3 linked regions of the Danio rerio genome follow. The protein of the gene in region 3 purifies or fractionates together with the protein of the main gene of each other region. This does not show direct contact. Links are inferred from orthologs where the notes say so. Each region holds a gene or a part of one and is shown on either strand. Other genes may lie near its edges.

The links. Proteins that work in one complex are often made in the same cells at the same time.
Region 1: the proteins of sox2 (region 3) and ssb purify together in Homo sapiens (affinity purification with mass spectrometry; 3 studies listed by BioGRID and IntAct, with this or other methods). This does not show direct contact. The link is inferred for Danio rerio from reciprocal best matches to the Homo sapiens genes SOX2 and SSB.
Region 2: the proteins of sox2 (region 3) and ilf2 purify together in Homo sapiens (affinity purification with mass spectrometry; 3 studies listed by BioGRID and IntAct, with this or other methods). This does not show direct contact. The link is inferred for Danio rerio from reciprocal best matches to the Homo sapiens genes SOX2 and ILF2.

Annotation. Positions count from the first base shown.
Region 1 is NC_133181.1:4,429,571-4,433,838, reverse strand, and holds the start of ssb (lupus La protein), read right to left. Parts: upstream 2,864-4,268; 5' UTR 2,796-2,863; exon of another isoform or gene 2,392-2,795; intron 2,297-2,391; coding exon of another isoform or gene 2,276-2,296; coding exon 2,219-2,275; intron 2,130-2,218; coding exon 2,026-2,129; intron 1-2,025. UniProt on the Homo sapiens protein: Binds to the 3' poly(U) terminus of nascent RNA polymerase III transcripts, protecting them from exonuclease digestion and facilitating their folding and maturation.
Region 2 is NC_133194.1:40,099,802-40,103,813, forward strand, and holds the start of ilf2 (interleukin enhancer-binding factor 2 homolog), read right to left. Parts: upstream 2,864-4,012; 5' UTR 2,774-2,863; coding exon 2,769-2,773; intron 2,303-2,768; coding exon 2,243-2,302; intron 2,152-2,242; coding exon 2,109-2,151; intron 2,022-2,108; coding exon 1,917-2,021; intron 728-1,916; coding exon 650-727; intron 540-649; coding exon 437-539; intron 348-436; coding exon 282-347; intron 181-281; coding exon 64-180; intron 1-63. UniProt on the Homo sapiens protein: Chromatin-interacting protein that forms a stable heterodimer with interleukin enhancer-binding factor 3/ILF3 and plays a role in several biological processes including transcription, innate immunity or cell growth.
Region 3 is NC_133197.1:39,474,654-39,478,632, forward strand, and holds sox2 (transcription factor Sox-2), read right to left. Parts: upstream 2,654-3,979; 5' UTR 2,431-2,653; coding exon 1,483-2,430; 3' UTR 568-1,482; downstream 1-567. UniProt on the Homo sapiens protein: Transcription factor that forms a trimeric complex with OCT4 on DNA and controls the expression of a number of genes involved in embryonic development such as YES1, FGF4, UTF1 and ZFP206. Binds to the proximal enhancer region of NANOG.

The DNA of each region.
Region 1 (4,268 bases), on a different chromosome or scaffold from region 3:
AACCACTACACATTCTATTCTAAAACATATCACTTACAAAAGCTAACATGTATTCTAATATCATATATAAATCATATAAATAAATAAATGAGGCTATTTATTATAAAATGATATGTAATATTAAATAGAAATGAAAAAAAATCATACTTTAATAATAATATTAATGATGATTATGATTATTATTTAGTAGGATATTGTTTATTTATTTATTTTTTTTTAAGTCTACATTTACAATTTGACACGTGTAAACCACTGCAGAAAATTCTAACAAGCAGGCCCATGTCATATACAGTACAGATACTTAAATAATAAATAACCTACTATAAATTAAAAGAATTAACAAATGCTGTTTGTTTTTTACAAGCTTTGGAGACTTAACATAAATTCCACTTTTAAATAATAGGTCACCTATAGCTTTCATCATGAGGCTGTGTTCCAAATGACATCAATGTTTTCAAAGTGCACTGCGAAGAGAGTACAAGTGTAAACATGAAGATTGCTAAAACTGAACTGTAAAAATAGTTCAAAAGAAAAATTACACCCAAGAGTGATGACCTTAATGCTTTATTTTTAATAATTCCAACTTTAAATGTTAGATTGTTCTAAATGAATAGGGCATAGGGGGGATATGCGGGAATAGAACACAGCCAGGAACTGTTTCTATACAGCTCCAGAGGTGTGGTTGCGAGCGCTCAATTTTGCGAATGTTCGTTGGAGTGACGGATTTGGGAAACAGCAAATCAACAAACTATGTTTGTAACAACGGAAGTTGCGACCTTAATGGCTAACGATGGTTTTGGGAAACGCACCCTTGAACAGTAATAAAACTAAATATTATTGGGGTTTTTTTTTTTTTTTTTAAAGGGCCGGGGATACTCCATGTCCCACCCTCACTTCATGTTTCGGGGAAAAATCTGACATTTGCGATATGAATATAATTTTGCTAGATGATGTAAATAGCTCTATTCAGGAAGATTTCACGAGTTTAGATTGACTGGGGTGATCAAGTCTTTTTATATGCAGAAATCAGCAAAAAAATGTAATAAATGCAAGCATATATAAATATGACAGAGCAAAAATACGAGTGAAATAAACAGTGCCATATGGTTTTCTGGGAATTCTATCAGTATTCGAATACACAAACTGAACAATCAAACATAAAATAACATGGTCATCATTATATAATATCATCATATCATCTTTATCTTTTATTCTTTAACAAATAATCCTGTGGTATCCACAATAGTCACACATTGCGATATCGATGCTCAAACAATATATTGTTCAGCCCTTAAATAAATATTTAATATAATTTCCAATAAATAATTTCACTCTTAAGGGGGAACACGGTGGCTTAGTGGTTAGCACTGTCGCCTCACAGCAAGAAGGTCTCTGGTTCGAGTCCAGGCTTTGCCAGTTGGCATTTCTGTGTGGAGTTTGCATGTTCTCCCTATGTTGGTGTAGGTTTCCTCCGGGTGCCCACAGTTCAAAGACATGCACTATAGATGACTTGAATAAACTTACATGTCCATAGTGTGTGTGTGTGAATGAGTATTTCCCAATACTGGGTTGCAGCTGGAAAGGCATGCGCTGTGTAAACACATGCCCTACTAAAAAAACTGCTTAAACCAGCCTAGGCTGATTGGCTGGTTATAGCTGGTCAACCAGGCTGGTTTTAGAGGGGTTTTGGCCACTTCCAGGCTGGTTTCCAGCCAGGTCTTAGCTGGTCTGGCTGGGAGATGACCAGCTAAAAGCAGCTTGACCAACCTAGCCAAAACCAGCTTTGTCCATCTTAAACCAGGCTGGTCATGCTGATTTTAGCTGGTCATTTTCCAACTTGACAGGCTAAGAAGTGGCCAAAACCCCTCTAAAACCAGGCTGGTCAACCAGCTAAAACCAGCTCAGGCTGGTTTAAGCTGGGTTTTTTTCAGTAGGGGGATAAATTGGCGGTTCATTCCGCTGTTAAACAAAAAAGGGACTAAGCCGAAGGAAAATGAATGACTGAACTTTCACTATTAAACTTACCTATTAAATTTTAGCATGGTCTCCAGAGGGACCCATCCGTCGTCTAACTGCAGCTGCTCCTTCAGAAACTTGTCTCTTGGGAGATTATGGTCACCAAAATAATACTGAACACACAGAAATATGGACAATCATATCATTCATCTGAATTGGCGATGGGAAATCAGCATATTTTACATGATTATCATCATCTCACCTCAATCTGCTCCGCCACCTTCTTCTCCAGGGGAGACATTTCCTGATTGTCAGCCATCTTTGCTAGAATCACAACAAACTAAACATAATTAATTAATCAATTAATTAAAAAAAGGAAGTGCAGAAATGCAAGAATACAAACGGTCTCTGCTTTGAATTATTTTAAAAACGCACATCACACAAGCCATAGTATTCAAACAGAGACTGAATGCTCTGTAATATAAACTCTGTATGAACTTCTGAACCCGGAGCGAGTTTGATTTCCAAACCACGTGTGAGTACAGCAGATCTGTGCACTTTCTATTTTAGCATCCACACTTCACTGTTTAAACTCAAATGTCCAGAAATAAAGAGCGTTAAAAATAACATGCCTGCACGCTACAAATTGAGTCAAAAAAATAGTATAAATGTTGGGATAATACTCGTTTATGGAGCATGTACGCGCCACATGTCGCAGAATGACACTGAAAAAACGTCGCGCGCTCGCTCTGTCACTGTTTTCTCACTGTCCGACCTGAAATTTCAAAACATAGTAAACTCCAAAAAAGAAGTAGTGCTACAAAAATCACCATACTTACTTTATTTGCGCTCTGTTTTTGTCTGATAGCGATGAAACGCCACACTCAACGCCGAGTGAACGTGAAGTGAGGTATGCCGTCGTGGAGTTATGACATCATTTAGACCGAGTTGAGAACTATGGGAAATGTAGTTGAATCAGGACATCCACAATTTTTCAAACGGTTTCATCCTATTTCGATCAAAAATGTATGCTATTATTAAACTACATGCTAAATTAAAAGTATTTTGTATGTTTTGAATCATCAATTGCTTATTAATGAGTGAATGTGAGTGAAAATCATATAAAGATTTGAATGTGGTAGCCCACTAATGCATTTGGTCAGGACTTTTTTTTTAATAAAAAAAAAAAAAAATAGAATAAAAGACTTATGAAAACTGAGAATGGTATATATGATGTTATTATATTGACAAAACAAAAGTCTTGTAAATGTTAAAAACAGGAAACACATTTCCCTTTTTAAAATGGTTTTGACACTGATATATATATATATATATATATATATATATATATATATATATATATATATATATATATATATATATATATATATATATATATATATAAGAAATGTGTAACTTTTTTAAATGATCATTTCTTTTTTAGAAAAGTTTAACAATGTGAACAAATTAATTTGAGTGTCAATGGAATTTTTGACTTTATATTTAATACAGTTGGACAAAATATTATAATATTTAAAAAAAAGACTTAATATAATGATGAAGGTGAATGTGCATTTTCATTCACCCATGTAACATCACTTTATTTTAAATAATTTGTTTGAATATTTCAAAAATACTTAGTTTAAATAGATATTTTATTAAACTACTTTACCCAACCCTTTGAGTTAAGTATTATCATTTACTAATAATTCACATATTACAAGTAATGTTTTTCTTATAGCTCAAGAGGTTTGAGAGGCCAGGGATAGTTCACCCAAAGATTAGTTTGTGCTCTATTTTATCCGATAGCAATGAAACAGCTCACTCAACACCATGTGAACGTGAAGTGAGGTCTGCCGTCGCGTAGTTATGACATCATTCAAAGACTGAGTGGAGGATTCTGGGAAATGAAGTTTTATCACGACATTCACAATTTTTCAAACTGTTTCATCATAATCGGATCAAAGATGTATGCTATTTTCGCATTAGAGAGTTAGAACGTGACGACTGAATATTAAACTAAAAGCATTTTGTATGTTTTGAATCATCGATTGCTTAATAATGAGTGAATGTGAGTGAAAATCATATAAAGATTTGAATGTGGTAGCCCACTAATGCATTTGGCCAGGAATTATAAAAATTGAGAATCGTATATATGATGGAATTATTGACAAAATAAAAGTCTAAAAAGTGTTAAAAACAGAGAAAACACAACATTTCTCCTTTTAAATTCAGTTTTGACATTAATATATATATATATATATATATATATATATATATATATATATATATATATATATATATATATATAT
Region 2 (4,012 bases), on a different chromosome or scaffold from region 3:
AAAAGTTATCATTTTTTAACGCAAGTCACAAACAAGATCAATGTTTAAAAGAGTGTGACATACAATGAAGCTCTGGGTCCAGTTTGCGCAGATTGGGTGGGACAGTGGTGATGAGGATTTTTACTGTGGCATCGGCAGAGCTGATCTCAAATCCAGTCTCGTTTGTCAGCATGGACAACACTGGGGAGAAGAGGAAAATGCATCAGTGAGAATGGCAAGCAAGTCGGATTTTTTTTCCCTCCCTGAAACTACAGGTCTGCCAGATTAAAGCCTATACTCACCCTCAGAAGGGTCCTGGGTTCGCAGGGTCTCAACAACTTTGTTTCCCAAGGCGGCAACAGCTTCCACTGAACAAGAACACGTAAACATTACTGATAAACCAAGTACACTTGGGCTAGGAGCAACATGTTGGCCTCATAGAAATCTCAAGACTTACAGGTGGGCAGAATCTTCAGGATAACCACAAGGTCAGCAACATTGTGTCCTGCAGTCATGGTGCCCTTTTTATAGGAGCCCACTTGTCTTACTTCCTCAATTTGCTGAAAAAGGGATTATCAAACTTTCATTAAATAAGTCTAAAAACATATACATAAAATATTTTGAAAGGCATTAATAATAATAATAATAATGTTTTACTGAAATATCTTACCACTTCAAAGTTTCCAGGTGCCACAATTAGGTTATCAATGACGTTGTTAATTTTGGTGACCAAGGACAAAATGGAAGCCTGTGACAAAAATGAAGAAAAAATTTGCTGTAATTTGTTAATAATGCAATCAAAAATTGGTTTGCTTTTGCACTCCTAATACAATATCACATTTTATGCATCTATTCTAGGTCAAAACCAAATGTGTAACAGCTCACAATCTTTAAAAATTAATAGAGGATGTTGAGACCTTATCGGATATATATAATATATATATATATATATATATATATATATATATATATATATATATATATATATATATATATATATATATATATATAGGGCTGATTCCAGCGTTATGGATGTGACATTTGCAGTAAAAATTCAAAACATAAATTTGCAGAGAAAGTATATTTTAACATTATATTGAATCATCCGTTTATATTTTCCAAAACAACTAACCACAGAGTTCTGGGATCAAAAAAATTCAATCTGTGAACATTTTTATACTTTAAATGAGGAAAATAAACAAGTGTTATGGATGTGACAAAAAAAGTCTGCGAGTTTACAGTATACAACTTATTTCGTTAAAAAAAATCTGTGAATTAAACTGCACAACCTAAAATAAATAATTCTCAACAAAAGGATAAGAGTTGGCTCTTTATAGAACAAAACTGATTTATTTTATTTTATTTTGACATTTTTGCATTTTTGAGGGAAAATCTTTGCTATGGATGTGACACTTTTTCGTTATGGATGTGACGGATGTGAAATTGCCATTTGTTTGACTTTGGTAAATCAAATAAATTAGTTTGAAAACATTGACAGAGACATTTTTAAGTATTTTTAAAGTACTGTAAAACACTTGCCTGCGCAAAAAATGTAGGAACGGTTTCGCTATTTTGGTGAAAAACATTTTTCTTTTCATGGCAAGGTTGACATTTTCATGGAATTGCTCATATATATATATATATATATATATATATATATATATATATATATATTACAATTCCATAATTTACTCCCACTCAAGGGGTACTAAACGTTAACGAATTTCTTCTGTTAAACACAAAACAAGATATTCTTAAGAATATGGGAAACCAGCATTTTTTGGTGTGTTCAACCAAATTAAGAAATTCAAACAGGCTTGGAACAAGTTGAACGAGTGTAAATGTCAACGACATTCATTTTTGGGTGAACTATCCCTTTAGCATGAAAGGGCAGAAGTCATGGAGTGTGCAGTTTTCATAATAGTTTATGACCATACCTGTTCAGAGGGGGTTGGACTGAGGTCTTGGTTCCTCTTCAACAGACATTCACTGAAAGCAGTCTCATCAGAGGCCGGCTTCACTCGAGGAAAGGCCATCTCACACTGTACAAAAGCAAGTTGTCATGAGCTCTGGGCTTAAAAAGGCTGTTTTTCCTCCCCACAAATCAGAAAAGCAATAAATGTACTTACAACATAGAAGTCAAATGGTATGTGAGGGACAAAGGGCCGATACCTGAGACAAGAGAAGTCACAGGTTACAAAATTATTACAATATAACCAAATTTAAGTAAGGGGGTCAAAACAATATGGTCATGAAATCTTACCCTTGGACCAAACCTCCGCGGGAGCCGAACCGGCCACCTCGGCCCCTGCCACGATCTCCTCTGAGAAATAAAAACGTAATTTCAGCAAGTGCAATACAAATAAATAAATAATGATGTCCAGCGATAACCCAAAATTGGATTTTTTAAAGTTTAATTTAAAACCCAAATAAAAAAATAAATATCACAAATTAGATAGCAGTATTGTTCGAATAAAAGCACGGCGTTCATTCATTCATAAACGCTCTCGGTTTTTTTTTCAGGAACACATCGTTTTGCAAATAACACAATATGTATAGAAAATCCAGAATTATGACTATAACCGGAAAAACTTTACTAATAAAAGTGTTTATTTAGTTACTGTATTGATTAAAAACCGACAAAGGGGCTAGCAGAACATGCTAACATGTTAGCTTAGCATCTTTGAAAAAAATGTATAAAATATCACAACATACAGTATTTTGCTATAATTCGGTTTATAACCTAATCAAAAAGATTGTTTAACTATAAATGATAAATCAGTTCGTACCTCATTGCGTAAGACGTTTTGTCAGTTTAACAGGACACACGCTGGTGAGAAGAGCTCTGCCTCCGCCTGCAGATAGCCGCCGAGTAGCTAGCTTCAGAAAACGGAAGTAACTTCATAAATCCAGCATAACCACCTAGAATAAAAGCCCGAAATAGCAGCCCACACAATAGTAAAAGTCTCAGTTGAATTAAGGTTTTTCGAGTTTATTTAGGGAGGAAATAACAGTAGCAGAAAGAGAAACTATCTAACATTCAGCTTTATTGTCTTTAAGTCAACTATGAAATTATTTAAAATACTATTTTTATGCATTACAATGTATGGATGACAACTACTCGCTTTTAAAACATTCTATTGTTTGGATAAGCTCAAACAAGTAGCATATAGCATACATAAAATTTTGTAAGGATTAAATCACAACATTCTAGATAGATTACCATAGTTTACTATGTTACTTTGAATGTTCGATCTGAATTAGCATGCAAGCATGACTTCTAAACAACATTATTAGTATCTAATTCACTGTGAACCATGTTGTACTTTGATAGTCATTTGCTGCTAATATGATTTCCCTATTTGGAATTTGCAAAGAATACTTTCTGAAATTATATTATTAATGAGAATATCTGAATTTCCGTATATAAAACCAACTTAACCTCTATCTAGACTGCTGCTGTCACATGGTTATACTTTGCTGAAGATAGCTATAGTTTTGTAAAGATTAGAAATATACAAACACAGATAATTTACTTCATTTGAAATAAATAATACACAAACAAACAAGCACATCACTAACAGGTCCACATTGTTCGACCCTAGCTATGGAACCCTATTAGAAATTTAAATAAACAAGAGAAGACAGTTTGGTCTGTATTATTTCACCCTTTTATGTCTTATATATTTAAAACCTTTAGGGATTAAAACAACAACAACAAATATTATTTCCATAAATAATCACTTCAAATGCATCTTGCAGGGGAGACTTGACATGTCAGGGGTGGACCTGTACAGTCCTCACACTGCCTTTATCAGAGAACACCAGACAGAAGTTGTGTTACATTCCACAGCCAATCAAACGCAGGAAATCCAAAGCTGTGCAGTTTTGCGCAAATTACGTAGATGTAATGCATGTGCTGAAGTAAGATAAGGGTTGTTTTTTAAATGTTCAGTCACCTCCACTGTTATTACAGCAATATGCCTCCATCATCACAACACATCCATCTACAGAACTAAATGCAGTGATAAGA
Region 3 (3,979 bases):
AGCTCAAAAATGAAAATATGTAAACTGCGCGCAGAAAAAAAACTAAACGTGCAGGCTTTATAAATCGTTGCACTCATATAAAAAATATAGAGAGTTTATAAAGTAAATGACTACCTTGACGTGCGTTCTTCATTGCATTTGGGCCGTTTTATGTCCCCAAGCAGAGCAGAGATTTACAGGCAAAACATAAACGCTGTGGTGTCGCTCCTCGTTTCCACTAAAAAATAGAAACGGTGTTAACTCACTAAATTTAAATAGCATCTAACATTTCATTTGTTTGACTGAAACAACAAAGCCAGACAGTTTTAACCGTGTGCATGCAATTTCAATGGAATACTTACTTTCAAAAAGCTGCACTCGTGTGTCAGTGTGCCATCTTATAAAGACAAATTAATGCAAATAATGCATAAACTTGTGGTTAATCATTTGTTTGAGCTAGAGTTAGTGAATGCACATTATTAAACCGTATAAGTGACATTTTCGTTTGTTTTGTTTGAGTAAATCAAACAACAAATATCATATTAGAATTGCAACCCAAATGGTAAACAAAATCAAAACCAGAAGCAATTTCAAATATCCAAATTTCAAAAATTTATTCATTTCAAACTGCATTGGAAAAAAAACTCATCTTGTAACTGTTATAATGATGTTATTAGTTAAAATATATACATGGAGCGTTGGCAACTGCGTACAGGCCACATTTTACAACTACGAAAAATGAAAGTTTTAAAATAAAAACTTAAAATATCACAGAAAATGTACAGAAAATTTACAAACCATGAGAAAATAAAGAACACAAACTTCATATATCTAACAGATGAAGAGTGGGAGACCGAAAATAATCAAGTGGAAATTAAAAAAAGCTGGAGAGTGCCTCTGTTCGTTCTCTCATTTAGAACTTAATAATAATAATAATAATAATAATAATAATAATAATAATAATAATAATAATGATTTATTACTATGTACCTTCAGTGAGAAACTCTTTAAATCCAGTTTTCATGTCAGCCTTTGCAAAACTTTGACGTAAACATCAGTTGTGCATCAATTTCTTGCACAATTTTTTATAATTTTTTTAAAACTTTCTGCTGTTTACAAACATTACATCTCGTTGTTGTTATTACGCTTCTTTTTTTAGATAAATACTGTACAAAAAGTCGATTGCAATAATAAAACATTTGATTCATTCTCCCCCCGCTTGTCAACCATGTCCAAATCTCATACACCTTTTGGAAACAAAACAGAACTGAAAAATCTAAATTAAAAAAATAATAAAATAAATCAGAAGAGAACAAAACAAAAACTGTGTGGAGTTCCTACCGTTCCTCTTTTTTTTAGTTTGTTTGTTTGTTTGTTTGTTTGTTTTTTAAATAGAAAGCAAAAGTTTTGTGTTCTTTCCTTGAGCTCTATACAACTTTTTCCCTCCCCAAAAGAAGTGTTCTGTACAAAAATAGTCCAGCAGTGTAGTAAAAAGAGTTCATTTTACATATGCGATAAGGGAATCGTGCCGTTAATCGTCGTACCGGGCACAGGTGCGCTCTGGTAATGTTGGGACATGTGCAGTCTGCTCTGAGCGCTCTGGTCCTGCACCTCCGCCCCGGGCAGGTACATACTGATCATGTCCCGCAGGTCCCCCGTTTGGCACTGTCCGGCCCGGGAATGAGACGACGACGTGACCACCGGCGGACTCGAACTAGACTCGGACTTGACCACCGAGCCCATGGAGCCCAGCGTCATTCCCGGCGTGCTTTGCTGCGAATAGGACATGCTGTAGGTGGGCGAGCCGTTCATGTAGGTCTGCGAGTTGGTCATGGAGTTGTACTGGAGCGCGCTCATGTCGTAGCGGTGCATGGGCTGCATCTGCGCCGTGTTGTGCGCGTTCAAACTCGGGTGCTGCGGGTAACCCAGCTGCTCCTGCATCATGCCGTAGCCTCCGTTGGTCCAGCCGTTCATATGCGCGTAGCTGTCCATCCTCTGGTTGACCCCGGCGCCCAAACCGGCCCCTACACCCACGCCGGCGCCCATGCCGTTGCCGCCCGGCGCCAGGAGCCCGCCCGGCAGGGTGTACTTGTCCTTCTTCATCAGGGTCTTGGTTTTCCTCCGGGGTCTGTATTTGTAATCCGGGTGTTCCTTCATGTGCAGAGCCCGAAGGCGTTTGGCTTCGTCGATGAATGGTCGCTTCTCGCTCTCGGACAGAAGTTTCCACTCGGCCCCGAGTCGCTTACTTATTTCCGAATTGTGCATTTTGGGGTTCTCCTGTGCCATTTTCCGCCGCTGTCCCCTCGACCACACCATGAAGGCGTTCATGGGTCTCTTGATGCGGTCCGGGCTGTTTTTCTGGTTGTTTCCCGAGGAGTTGGTGTTCCCCGTGCCCCCGGTGTTGGGCTGGGGCGCCGGGGGCTTCAGCTCGGTTTCCATCATGTTATACATTTAAACCGATTTTCTCGAAAGTCTACCCCACCAGCCGTAAAAATAAAAAATAAAGAAGTCCAAAAAGTGTGTGGAGAGGCTGCTGAAGTTACCTTAGCAGTTGGAGGTAACTTTGCTGGGAAAAGAAGCGCTCTTAGGTCCTGTTGTGCCCACAAACTTCTTTTCTTAGTCTTGAAGAATCAACACAAACTCGGTTTCCCTCCTCGCCAGAGCCCTTGTCAACTCCTGATACTTTTTGAACAAGTTAATAGACAACCATTCATAGAGCGACTGTCAGCGAATATAAATGGGTTTGTCGCTGACCAATCAGAGCGCGTCTGCTCCCTCGGTTTGCATAAAGGGGCGGGGTTACGGACGGTCAGCAGTGCAGCGCAGAGCCACAGGCAGTGGCTGTGAGTGTGTGTGTGTGTGTGTGTGTTTATGAGAGAGCTAAAGTGAGAATATTTCACACAAACCATTTTCCAATCAAACTCTGTATGATCTTAAGATTCTAAATAAACATTTAAAGTTTTATTATTAGTATTATTATTATTATTATTATTATTATTATTATTATTATTACTATTATTATTTATCGCTTTGTTTTTAGTGTAAGTTTGCGTATTCAACACATCAGTTAAACTCTTAAAGCACTGAAAATAAAATAAAGATTTTTTTAAGTTAAAACGGCAAGCTCATAATATTAAAAACTTCCAAAATAATGCGTGAATAAGCCGAATAAAATATAGCTATTTATTATTTAGTTCGCATTTAAAAATGAGCAGCGGCTTGTTTTATTAACGAATACAATAAAGTAAACGCAGGCGCACGAATTTAAAAGGTGTCATTTTAAAAACACTCGTTCTTGAGACATTATCCCAACTAACATGCCTGTATTTATGCCACTACACTTCAACCGGCTCAAGCTGAATGTGAATTAGAAAATGGAGGCCCGTCAATCATCACAAATAGGTAGTTTTGTTTCGGCTGTTGTCATTACATCACTCTGAACAAAAGCACGACAAAAGCCGACTACACTGACCATCTGAGTTGTAAGGATTTGTGTTATTAGGATTCACTCCATGAAGAGTGACAGGGGGAGAGGGTTTATTCAGCACAGCCTCCTTCAAAATAACAAGAGCACGGGCGCTTTGATTAAATCCAATTATTTGTATAATAACTAAAAACACAAGGAGCTATTTTTTGCCCAACACATCTATTCTCCGAGAATTACGATTAAAAGCTGATCATTCTTCCTGCAGAAGTTGACTTTACTCGACAAGAGTGGAACTAATATACAAACAGGCTTAATGTCAGGAGGAAAAAATGCCTATTTTATATTTTTCTTTTCCACGAAAGCATGTTTTATGTTTCAACAGCGTCCTCTTGCGGTCACACTGATACAAACTCGTGCTCCCTCAACATTTTCCACATGCACGCAGTTATTTTGGATTGCTTTATAAATAAGTTTTAGTCGCTGTACTTTTTATATAATTAGCGGGAGATAAAAAATAATAATTACACAAAACAAACAACATAAATTCCAACAATAATACTTATTTTTTTAGGG